3 linked regions of the Rattus norvegicus genome follow. The protein of the gene in region 2 purifies or fractionates together with the protein of the main gene of each other region. This does not show direct contact. Links are inferred from orthologs where the notes say so. Each region holds a gene or a part of one and is shown on either strand. Other genes may lie near its edges.

Region 1 (3,644 bases), on a different chromosome or scaffold from region 2:
CACATACACATCCCAACCGCTTCTAAGTCTCTGTCAGAAGTAAAAGCCCATCACCTTCTGCAACTGGGCCAGAAGGACTGTTCTGAACCTCGCCTTAGCTGGTCTGGGATACTCGGTGAGAACGGCTTCACCAATAACAATCTACTACCAAACAACAAACCTGGGCGTATTTCATCAGCATGTTCTCTCTGGGAATACGGTAATTGTCCATCTTCAGGTAGCCGTTATCCATCTCTTCATAACCAAATTTGGGACCGATATCCCCGACAGTGATGCCTACCACAGACAACAAGAAGCACTGTGATGCGTGCATGCGTGCTTCTCGTCCTTGCTTCCCTCCGCCCCACTTAACTGTGCCTTACACTCCTGCAGTTCACCTATTTTCGTCATCTTGTGCGTGGGTGTTTTTCATGCATGTTTGCCCATGTACCACATGGATGCCTGAAGCCCCAGGAGGCCAGAAGAGGGTGTTGGATCCCCTGGAACTAGAGTTACAGCTGGTTTCGGGCCACCAGGTAAATGCTGGAACAGAACCCTGGTCCTCTGGAAGATCAGCCAGCGTTCTTGACTGCTAAGCTATTTCTCCAGCCCCTTGCAGTTTTAATTTTTACCTTGATATCCAAAGAACAATCCTTACCTGGCAAGGGCTTGTGGGTCCCAATTTCACGGATAGGGACAACAAAGGCATGTAACCCGTAGCACTCTCCTTGAGTGATGAGCTGAGCCAGAACTATTGCGTGATTGGAAGTTTTCCCAACTGCAAAAGCAAGAAGCGGGGACAGGAAGTGTGCGTCCCTGCTCAAGGCAGGGTCTCGCCTTCTGATCTTCCCACCTCTAAGTCCCGAGCGCTGGGATTACACGTATGAATCGCACTTGCTTGTGCTCTTGTCCTTTGATTTTTCATTTTCATGGCTCTCTGGTGCAATGCAGGCTTTGGTTCTGGACCTGTCTTTGCCTTTTACCTCATTTCCTTTCCAGTGCACGCCTTTCTTCTCTTTAATAAACTGCCTCAATCACAATCTCATACGTCCTCAAAATGTTCGGCAGTAACAACAAACATTCAAAACATGTTTAAAGAAAAAAAAAATCCAACTTACGTCCCCCAGGCCACCACTTAATGGAAGTCACAGTAGGGCTGTTGAGAATGAACTCTTGGGTCTTGGGGTCATATGTGGCAGTGGTTTCCAAGCCTCGAAGATGAGTTCCTAAGGAAAGACATCACGTGGCCTCAGTACAGCACAGAGGAAAAAGACCAAGAAAACAGACCAGCCGGGCCTCAGGAGGCTAAAGACCAGCAGTAGACAAGCTGTGAGTGACGGGCACAGCAGTTACTGTCCTGTCACACAGTGACCCCTAGGCCACAACAGCAGTGTCCTGGGTGTCGCTTGTGAGTGTGGCTCAGTGGACGTGCCATATTTATTGAGACTAATCAAAAGAAAAGGTAGAGGCAACTACTCCTCTGTGTGACAGAGGTGGCCGCTTCCCTTTAAACCCAGTTCTTGTACTTTTTTTAAAATTACATTTCCACTGGGCAGCGGTGGCACACTCCTTTAATTCCAGCACTTGGGAGGCAGAGGCAGGAGGATCTCTGTGAGTTCGAGGCCAGCTGGTCTTCAAAGAAAGTTCCAGGACAGCCAGGGCTACACAGAGAAACCTGTCTCAAAAACAGAAACAAAATTTACATTTCCTCTGTGTACATTTGTGCCACACGTGCACACGTGCACACGAGCCACAGCCATGTGTGGGAGTCAGCTTTCGCCTGCTGTGTGGGTCTGGGAAGGGGGTGCATCAGGCTCGGCAGCAAATGCCTTTACCACAGAGCCACCCTGCCAGCCTGGGTCCTGTTCCTATGTTTAAACACAACAACACTGACTCTAGTGAACTGTGGGGAAGGCAGACAGACAGCAATCATCACCACCTCAGCCCCACCGAGGCAGGCCTGTAGAAGGTAGACTAAACACACTGTACCATGACCCATCTCTGTCTGCGCATAAGTGCCCGTGATCTCCAAATTCCAGGCCGGCATGAAGAAGCGCTCCTGCTGCTCTGCGGTGGCCTGGTGAAGCAAGGTGGGTAGGAACATGCCCAAGTGAAGGTCCAAAGGCTCAGGATGCCCTCGGTGCACAGAGCTTCGAAGAAATACCAGGACGGGCATTTGAGGGAGGTAGCATCAGGTGTGTAAGAATCAGAGACGTGAACGGATAGAGCGGGGAAGGAGAAAAAACAAACTGTGAGTACGAATTGATCAGGTGCACTTCATCACAATGCGAGCACTGTCCTTTTCTGTGTTATGATTCTCGACAATGTTTGTCTTTCTTATGTCAGCAGAGCCTCAATCATGTAGAAGGTAAGACTCTGGCCCGGCAGGTAAACGAAAGCAAATGAAAAATTTGAAAAGGAGATTTGACCGGGCACAAAGGTGCCCTTTGGTGCCGGCGGACAGAAACAGGAGAACACGGCAGTTCTCTGGGTGATACAATGAACCCCGGCTAAGGTTTTCCTGGATGCAATCAGGGAAGTGTCTAGACTGGGGTGCTGTTTATTCAGGAAATATCTAGGACAGACCCACAGTCTAATTCATTCAAGTTCACCAGATCAAATATTCAACCAGGATCTACTGTGCAAATTAACACAAAAACTGACAGTGCTCTTTATCCCAATAACGGCAGCAATTAAAGACATGCAGCTCCTAGGGACAGCCATTACAGCCGGTGAGCACAGACCTGCGCCTGACGGGCTGTGGTACACTGTTATGCTATTAGACGTGAGCCTGGAGCACAGACCTTTCACCCTCTCAGCCTGCTCCATCTCAGCCGGGCTGGAGACAAGCAGCGCTCACCTGGACCTCTCCAGGGCAAGCGCCTCCAGCTAACCGCTCCCAAGAGACGCAGTGCTTCTCCCCCACTTCACAGGGAATAAAGGAAAGTGGACAGCCACATGCCACATGGCATCAAAACGATGGTGGCAGACCAGGACAAGGGTTTGTAACCGAGTCCTGTCTCTGGTTGGCGAGCTTAACCTTCAAGCCCAGCATGGGTTGAGAACATCCAAAATCCGCATGTTTCTTAGAAACATGGAAACTGGAAATCCCAAAAGGCTGGCTACAGGCAGCGTGGGTGAAAGGTCTGTGGGGACTCTTGTGACACATTAGCGACTCCCTAGGAATCTGTAGTCACTGAAACCAATCAGTGGAGCTGCTTGTGATGATGCATGTCTGTAATCCCAGCACACAGGAGGCAGAGGCAGAAGAATTCAAGTTCAGGGCTGGCTTGGGCCACACAGAGGAATCCTACCTTTAAAAGCCAAACCAAACCAACCAAACTGAACACCTTTTTCTTTTCTTTTCTTTTTTTAATATATAATTTGTTTTTATTTTATGTTCACTGGTGCTTTATCTGTATGTGTGTCTGTGTGAAGGTGTCGGAGACCTTGGAACTGGAATAACAGTCAGGGGTGTGAGCTGCTATGTGGGTGCTGGGAATTGGACCCAAGTCCTCTGGAAGAACAGCCAGCGCTCTTAACCCCTGAGCTATCTCTCCAACTCCAAGATGCCTTTTCCATTCATGAACTCTCCAAGCTTTTAGAATGCCAATGCTAGGAATGGCAGTATAGCACAGTGGTAAAACAATTTGCCTTGGGTTTAT
Region 2 (4,392 bases):
GCACGCACGCACGCACGCACGCACGCACGGCCAGGCACAGTGGTTCATACCTGTAGTCCCAGAGCTCAGGAGGCTAAGGCAGGAAGATCTCAGTTACATGGGGATTTGGAGGACAGCCTGGACTACAGAGATGCTGTCTAGAAACTCAAAAGGTGTGTATACTTTTAGTACAGACAAAAATTTTCCAAACATTTTCTATCCACAGTTGGTTCAATCTACAGATGAGAAGCCCACACACACTCAGGTGGCCTAGCCAGACTTCAGGGCTCTGGACTCCACAATCTATTTCCCCAGATCCCAATTCTACTCAAGACGGCTGAATGCCAGAGTCCTAGATGCCGTGGTAACTATTTCTCTCTTCCTGGGCCACCCATCCAACCTCTAGCTCCTCTCTACTCAACTTAAGTTACTGATAAAGAGGCAGCTCTAAGCTCTCGTTCATTCTCTCCTCCCCGCTTCCTCTCTCTTTTTATCTCCACCCAAACCCACATTTCTCTTTATTATGTTTTGATTACCTGCAATTGCTCTAAGAAGTCACATTTAACATCCTACAGAAATGAACCAAGAACCTGTAAGTCATTAGCAGTCGAACCCTCCCAAGAAGAATGAGGACACCGCACAGAACAGATCTCCCCAGGAGCCTCACCCGTGACTTCGGCGATGAATTCTTGGGACCAGTCGGTCTCGTTATAATCCTGAGCTACATCCACAGCATCTCCAGCGGCAAGAAACTCCTGGGCCCAATTCTCAGACAAAGCCAAGTCTGCCACACCAGGGGCTTATGAGAAACAAGAGAAGAGTGAGAAACAAAGAAAGCAGGTTTCTATCATTCCTTCACGCTCACTCCTGGACCACACTTCCCTTGTCTCCTCTGCACCTCAGTTCCCCCGACACCAGCAAAATCAAACTCTTCTGGCCTCTTCCCTTCTCACCAGGTCCTGAACCCACCTCTCTGAGGAGCCTGGCGAAAGTTTGACTGTTCAATCTCCTGCATCTCCGCCAAGAGGTCATCCATCTTGAAGGTCTGAGGGGCTCGGGATACAAGAGTTGCATTCTGGTCCTGCAGGAATTCTGCCACCAACTGTTACAGAGAGACGGTCAGATGAACTATTAGGATCAGAGGGGCCTCAGCCAGGGGCAGGGCCCACTGATGTCGGACAGAAAAACAAAAACTACAGATAAATAAAGAAAAAAATTCTATCCGTAAATTAGGAAAACAGAAAAATACCCCAAAAAAGTAGATGGGAACACTGGCAAATAAATCTCATTCGGTAAAGAGAGTTAAGTATGCATAGACTGCTTATAAAGGTAGAAAGAAAGAAAGAAAGAAAGAAAGAAAGAAAGAAAGAAAGAAAGAAAGAAAGAAAGGAAGGAAGGAAGAAAGAAAGAAAGGAAGAAAGAAAGAAAGGAAGAGAAAAGAAAAGATCACCATGAGTCAAAAAAAGAAAAAGACAGGAAGTAACCTTGTTCTATTTACCTCATCTTCAGTGCCTACTCCCAAAGGCTTGGAAACCTAAGACAGGAAGGAAAGAGGCAATACACAGAGTGAGAAGGCCAGAGGCTACAACCCAACTTTAACTCTACTGCTTAGGTGACCTGAGGTAAGTCAAGAAAGAGTCTTCACAAAGACTCAGCTTCTTTTATTTTTTTTTAAGATTTATTTATTTCTATAAGTACACTGTAGCTGTCTTCAGACACACCAGAAGAGGGCATCAGATCCCATTACAGATGGTTGTGAGCCACCATGTGGTTGCTGGGAATTGAACTCAGGACCTCTGGAAGAGCAGTCAGTGCTCTTAACCACTGAGCCATTTCTCCAGCCCAAGCCTCCGCTTCTTTGTCTATAAAATACTAGTCCTCGTCTGTGTAAAGATGCACAATGCTCACTCCAGTGTTACGGAGTGGCGACTATTACTTTAACAACAGAGAAAGCAGCTATCCAGGCTGAAGGAATGGACTCTCCTGCTCTAGAACACTCACCGTTTCCGCCGCTGAGGCTCCTGGAGGCCAGGGGCCAGGCCTCAGTCCCTCCTGCCGAAGGGCCTTGTCCTGGGTGAAGTGGGTGGCCAGCTTCATCAGCGGGTTGGCACCCCCACATTCGCTCTCCACCAGCTCCCGCATTGCCATGGTGACCACCAGCTCCCTGATGGACAGAAGATTAGAACTGTGGTCCTGGAGCCAGACTTTCCCAAAGCAAGCCAACAGCCCCTATCTAGAGCAGGTGGGCCCACGACGGTTCCACAAGGGCCAGGCCTCCAGGGCCACCCCCTGGATGGACCCCATCCAGCTGGGTCTGGCGTCCAAGAGGAGGCTGTGTCCTCCTGTCTTCCCACTCCAAGCCATGGCTTTCAGGGCTTGGGCTACCCCTGCAGCCGTCAGGACCGCATCTCAGACACCACCCGCCAGCAGCAGCTCTACAAACGGGCCTGGACCCCTGGGGAGCACGGGTAACGCATCGTAAACACTAGACACCGACTCTAACCGGACAAGGGAGAGCGGGAACGCCTCCGACCGCACACCGGAACCCGCACCCCGGGTCAGGCTGGCGCTGCGGGTCTCAATCTTAGCTCGTGTCACCTGAGCCCCCTCCCCCGCCGCGCCTGTCCACGCCCCGTGCCCCGCGCCCCGCGCCCCCAGCCCGGTCACCCCAGCCCCGACCCCGCCCCACGAGGCTACCGCAGCGGCGGGGACTTGCCCGGACCCGCGCCCCCTAGGCTCCAAAGATCACCGCCGCTGGTCGCACCGTCCGGCCGGCCGGAGTACCTGGGGTGGGCTGGGGGAGGGGAGGGGGCGGGAGCAAGGGGGAGGGACTCGGCCTTAAAGGGGCCTGGACCGCGGCGCTGCGGCCCAGCTCAACGGAAACGGGCGAAGGGGCGGGGCCTCAAACCTGCGCAGCGTGATGGGCGGAGCCGAGAGCCTTAAAGGGGAAGTCCTAGGCAGTTGGTTTGGGGAGTCCTCCAGTAGTCCTTAGAATGCTGGGATTTATTTAGTGGAAAACTCAAAGGAATGGAGCTAGGAGAGGCTTCTCTGGTTTTAGAGGAAAACCAAGGTTTTCCACGGTTCAGCTCTCTCTCCTGGGTTTCCTCCTCCTCTAAATCCGGGGGATTTCGGAGGTCAAATCGTGACCTGCTTCGGCCTCCTAGGCCTGACCCCCTTCCAACATGCTCCTTCAAGACAGCGTCACAGCCTCCAAGGAGACAGGGGCCTGCCTCTACCATTTTTGCGTAAAGAAGAAAATAGCGCCGGATGATGACAAATTCTGGTGACTAAAATAGGGTCCAACGTATTTTGAGACCTCAAGCCGGTAATGGATGGGGAGAGTGAAGTGAGTCACTCCTCTCTCCTCTTTCCTACTGGTCAAGGTCGTGATGGCCTGATTACCCGCAGCTCCGAGTTGGGAAAACGTGGCAAGGAATACCTTTGATCAGGGAATATAAACCTAAGCCTCAGGCTTCACCATCTGCCAGAGAACTGGCGCCGGTGCCAAACCTCAAGGTCACTGGAAAACAAACCTTGATATATCACCTAGGTCCAAGACCAACGGACCTCTTGACGTCCTGGGAAGGAAGGGGACGGGTTCAGAGTGCTGGTAGGTGGGCTAGGAGGAAACTGGTTCTAGAGAGACAGGACGGTCCCCGCCCGGGTAGCGGGAGAAGAAGCAGGTAGGTGGCGCCCTCGGGAAAGCTTGGTTCTTTGCTGCCCTGAAGATTTCAAAGGTAGCCCTCCTCGGGGAACACAGTCTGTGTAAATTCATCCCTGGGAAGATAGAAATTGCCCTTATAACTACAATGGTTGAACAAGGCAGAATATTGTGCAATGTTTCTGTCTTTAGTACACTGTCAATATCTTTCAGAGGCCCTAACACACACCCCCATTCTCCTTGACCACAAATTCCAGACCTGTCCACTGTTTCCAGGCTGCCATTGTAAGGAAAAAAAACCTAGCAACCAATAAACTGAACCACACCAAGGAGGAGAGGATGCCTTCTTGGAAGAGAAATACTTTAAACAGGAGACTCTCTGGAGAAATCAGTATTTAAGGAAAGCATATGATGGTTTGAATTTCTGAACATCGGGGAAGCATCTCCCAGAAGCACTCAAAGTCCATCACACACATAACCTCCTACTGTGCTAGGAGGTTAGTAACTGATTAGCAGAGATTTACTGGGCCACGATCTTGGGAGAGTAATTGTGATAATAACCGATGCTTATGAAATGCATGCTAACCCCCAGGTGTTGCTTTAAGCACTTGGTGAGCATTCACGCTTTTAATCATAATCTTCATAATGCTCCCATGAGAAAGATATTACCAACCTCCTATTACAAATAAGACTTGCACAAAAATCAAATATCTAGGAAGTCAGAATCAATGCAAGCAGTTGGCAACAGGGCT
Region 3 (3,644 bases), on a different chromosome or scaffold from region 2:
GTGCCTCACATCCATCCAAAAGTGCAGCTGCAGTGATCTGATGCCTATCCTCCCCTCATTAAGAGACTGCATGCCATGGTGCACATATATATACTCAGGCATACGAGCATATTACTGAAATAAAAAGATAAATTTCTAAAGAGGCACAAGCTAGCTGCGCGGTGGTGGCTCAGGCCTTCGATCCTAGCTCTTGGGAGATAGAGCAGGTGGACCTCTGATTTCAAGGTCAGCCTGGTCTACAGATGGCATTCCAGTAGAGACAGGGCTACACAGGAAACCACATCTCAAAAAACGAGAGGGAGAGAGAGAGAGAGAGAGAGAGAGAGAGAGAGAGAGAGAGAGAGAGAGAGGAGATATCAAATGAACGCTATTGGTGTGGGCTTCTGAGTCCCTAGCATCTCCTCCAGCCTTCCCTGGGATTCCCACTAAGGACACGTCTGGGTTTCGTGGCTCTCGAGACACTCGCCTGCTTTGCACATGTAGAAGGTGCCAGTCAGGTTGGTTTCAATCACAGCTTGCCATCCCTTCGCAGTGATGTCTTCAGCAGGAGCCATGAACTGGCCCCCTGCGTTGTTCACCAAGAAGTTGATCTTCCCATATTTAGCTAAGGTAGATTTGACCAAATTATTCACCTAAAGAAACATTGAGAGAGAAAGTTTAATCGCTATCCTGCGGCATGGCCCGGTTTTAGAAATACAATGCAGTTTATAGACTCCTATATAATGCATACTAATTCTAAATACTACAACCCAAACACATAAAGCCACCAATGACTAAACCCCCACACCCCACAGTGCGAACTTCCCACTGTGCTAATGAAAGACCCCAGCTTAGCAGCAGTAACGCCATTTTGCAAGGCTGTACTTAAGATGACTGGTTCAGGGAAAGGTTAGAACACTGAGTACACAGCAGCTGCCAAGCAAGATATGTTTGGTTGAAGGCCTGGCAACAGGACGACTGCGGTTGAGCACCTGACAATGAGAAAAGCCCCGGGAGAGGTCCCACACCCTGGGGGGGGGGGGCGAGTCAGCCGTTATGTTCCAAGAAGGTAACTAGGAAACTTGCCCCCGGGCTGAACCCTTGGGGGGCCGAGTCAGTGGTTATGTTTCAAGAAGGTAGCTAGGAAACTTGCCCCTGGGCTGAACCCTTGCCACATTAGAATCCACCAAGTATATCCCTGTAACCATGCATCTGCTTCTGTATGCTTGCTTCTGCTCCCCAAAATCCTATAAAAAGCCCATCCTTGGTTCCGTGGGGCACGCCAGTCCCCCGAGTGACTGAAGCGCCCGCAGGTGCCTGTGCCTGTGTATCCCGACAATAAACCAAATCCTCTTGCTGATTGCATCCTGTGGTGTCTCGGTCTGGTCTTTGGAGTTGGAGGGTCTCCATCCCGAGGGAAAGTTCTCCCTGAGAGCTTTTCACTATACTCATAAGCCAAGATTCTAACTTTGATGGCAAGACACACTGGTGAGTACGGATAACCCCAAGCACAGCAAACCTCAGTGGCATTAATTTCTAAGTGCCGACCTTTAAAAAAAAAAAAAAAGATGAAACCAGGTCAAAATGAACATTAAGAAACGCCTTACAGCAGTGTTTATCAAACTGGGGTCACAACCTCTTTCGGAGGAGGGCATCCAATAACCCTTTTACAGGATCTCATATCAGATATCCTGCATTCCAGATGTCAACATTCTGATTGATAACTGTAGCAACATTACAGCTGTGGAGTACCAGTGTAAATAACTTTATAGTCGGGGGTCACCATAGCATGAGGAACTGTATGAAGGGGTCACAGGATTACAAGGTTGAAAACCATAGCCTTAAAGGGTCTCTAGCTGAGAGGACATTTTTGCTTAGCTTCCCTCCTTCTGAGGTCACCAGCTCAGTAAGTTGGGAGCACAGGCATCAGTCCTTACAGGCTCTGCCTTCTAGTGAGCAGGGGTCAGGCACCGCTTCAGCAAAGGACACTGGGTAAGCACACTGCGCAGCCATGTTTGTCTTACCTCTTCTTCTTTCCTGATATTGCACTGTATGGCGGTGACTTGAGTGCTGCTGGAGGGAGGCTGAGAGGCTCTCAGTTCATCCACAGCAGCGGTTAATCTGTCCAGTTTCCGGGAAGCAATGACCACGTTACACCCTAAGGTGAAAACAGCCAGAGGAATAAAGAAAACATGCTTCTAAGAGCTGTCCAAACTAAGGGGCTAGAAGGAAGGTTGAGAGCACTGGCTGCTCTTCCAGAAGACCCAGGTTCAGTAGCCAGCACCCACATAGTGGCTCATAACTCTCTGTAACTCTAGCTCCAGGAAATCTGACACCCACTTCTGGTCTCTACAGGCACCAAGCACATACGTGATAAACAGACCTATAGGTAAAATACACATACATGTACACATAAAAATAAATAAATAAAGCTATCTAAACTACAAAAACTGTTTTGTGTATTCCTGTAAAGGGTATCAGTAGAAGAGGAATTAGGTTGGTTTTGGACACATTGAAGCAATAGGAACAGAAATGACTAAGAAGCTAGACAACACACACACACACACACACACACACACACACGCACACACACACAGGACAGGGAAGGGACAATTGTTTTGAAATATTCAATGTCAAATGCCACGGGACTAAAAATGAGTAGCCACCTCTGAGAGCACGCAAGTCCAAGAAGGGACCTATGGACAAACCATAGTACTATGAGACGGGGAGTTAAATGGACAGATAGGAGAGGCGCCAAGACTAGGTGGTGAACTTGGGCTGGCTTCTTCCTCACCCTCACTGACTTGTGAGAACAGTCTGGCAGCTTAAAACAAAGGCCTTGTGGGCCCTTTCTCCTGCTTGAAGGGCCTGGCTGATGGACTGGGCCAACAAGTTCAAAGCAGGATCAAGTTACTCAATAGTTGTGGGCCAATCAGCCATCTTCTAACTTATTGGAGGAAAACTCTTCAGAGACTTAAAAAAAAAAAAATCTCCAGCCCTCAAGAAGAGACTGGAATTTTTCACTTCCTGTGTCTTCCTTCAGCTTTGTAGAATCTTTTTCTCTATATCTGCTGCTGTGTGCCTGTGGTGGGTGAGTTCTCTCTGCTGCTACCTGTGTGCCTTTTAGTTCTTTAATTGCAGGGAAACGAACGCAATCAAGACCCCCAGACTGTAGGTATCATGATCACTGTAGAGAGCTTCTAGACTACAGAACAGAATAAACTTATTCCCAGCCTGGAAGTCTCTGGAAGTGGGAGAGATGAAGTGAGGACTTCAAGGAGGCTAGGCAGATGGTCACATGAGTCGTGGGAGAGGAGAAATGAAGGGGATTTTTACAGTCTTGCTTGGATTTCATCCAAGCCAGCACAGATCCGTGCATGGAAGGACAGGGACAAGGTGGAGCCCTTCAGAAGGAGCCAGGGAAGGAACCCAGCATTCAGTACCAGGAGTAGGGAATCTGTTGACCACCACCCCCAACAAAATCTTTCACTGGGTAAAGAGTGTAGCATTGGCAGGGAAGTGGCATTAGCCAAAGAAGAAAGGCTTCCAGGACCAAGTCTTAATTTTAAGACGTTGTTTGGAAATATCAAACTATTTTTTTTAATATTTTATTTATTTATTATAGATGAGTACACTGTAGCTGTCTTCAGACACACCAGAAGAGG

Evidence for each region.
Region 1: the proteins of Pex5 (region 2) and Acox1 purify together in Homo sapiens (affinity purification with mass spectrometry; 3 studies listed by BioGRID, with this or other methods). This does not show direct contact. The link is inferred for Rattus norvegicus from reciprocal best matches to the Homo sapiens genes PEX5 and ACOX1.
Region 3: the proteins of Pex5 (region 2) and Pecr purify together in Homo sapiens (affinity purification with mass spectrometry; 3 studies listed by BioGRID, with this or other methods). This does not show direct contact. The link is inferred for Rattus norvegicus from reciprocal best matches to the Homo sapiens genes PEX5 and PECR.

Annotation. Positions count from the first base shown.
Region 1 is NC_086028.1:101,913,096-101,916,739, forward strand, and holds part of Acox1 (peroxisomal acyl-coenzyme A oxidase 1), read right to left. Parts: intron 2,130-3,644; coding exon 1,969-2,129; intron 1,206-1,968; coding exon 1,098-1,205; intron 758-1,097; coding exon 638-757; intron 277-637; coding exon 161-276; intron 1-160. UniProt on the Homo sapiens protein: Involved in the initial and rate-limiting step of peroxisomal beta-oxidation of straight-chain saturated and unsaturated very-long-chain fatty acids.
Region 2 is NC_086022.1:158,979,868-158,984,259, forward strand, and holds the start of Pex5 (peroxisomal targeting signal 1 receptor), read right to left. Parts: upstream 2,867-4,392; 5' UTR 2,677-2,866; intron 2,630-2,676; exon of another isoform or gene 2,483-2,629; intron 2,144-2,482; 5' UTR 2,128-2,143; coding exon 1,981-2,127; intron 1,514-1,980; coding exon 1,478-1,513; intron 1,082-1,477; coding exon 949-1,081; intron 779-948; coding exon 647-778; intron 1-646.
Region 3 is NC_086027.1:81,365,710-81,369,353, forward strand, and holds part of Pecr (peroxisomal trans-2-enoyl-CoA reductase), read right to left. Parts: intron 2,138-3,644; coding exon 2,004-2,137; intron 633-2,003; coding exon 467-632; intron 1-466. UniProt on the Homo sapiens protein: Participates in chain elongation of fatty acids. Catalyzes the reduction of trans-2-enoyl-CoAs of varying chain lengths from 6:1 to 16:1, having maximum activity with 10:1 CoA. Has no 2,4-dienoyl-CoA reductase activity.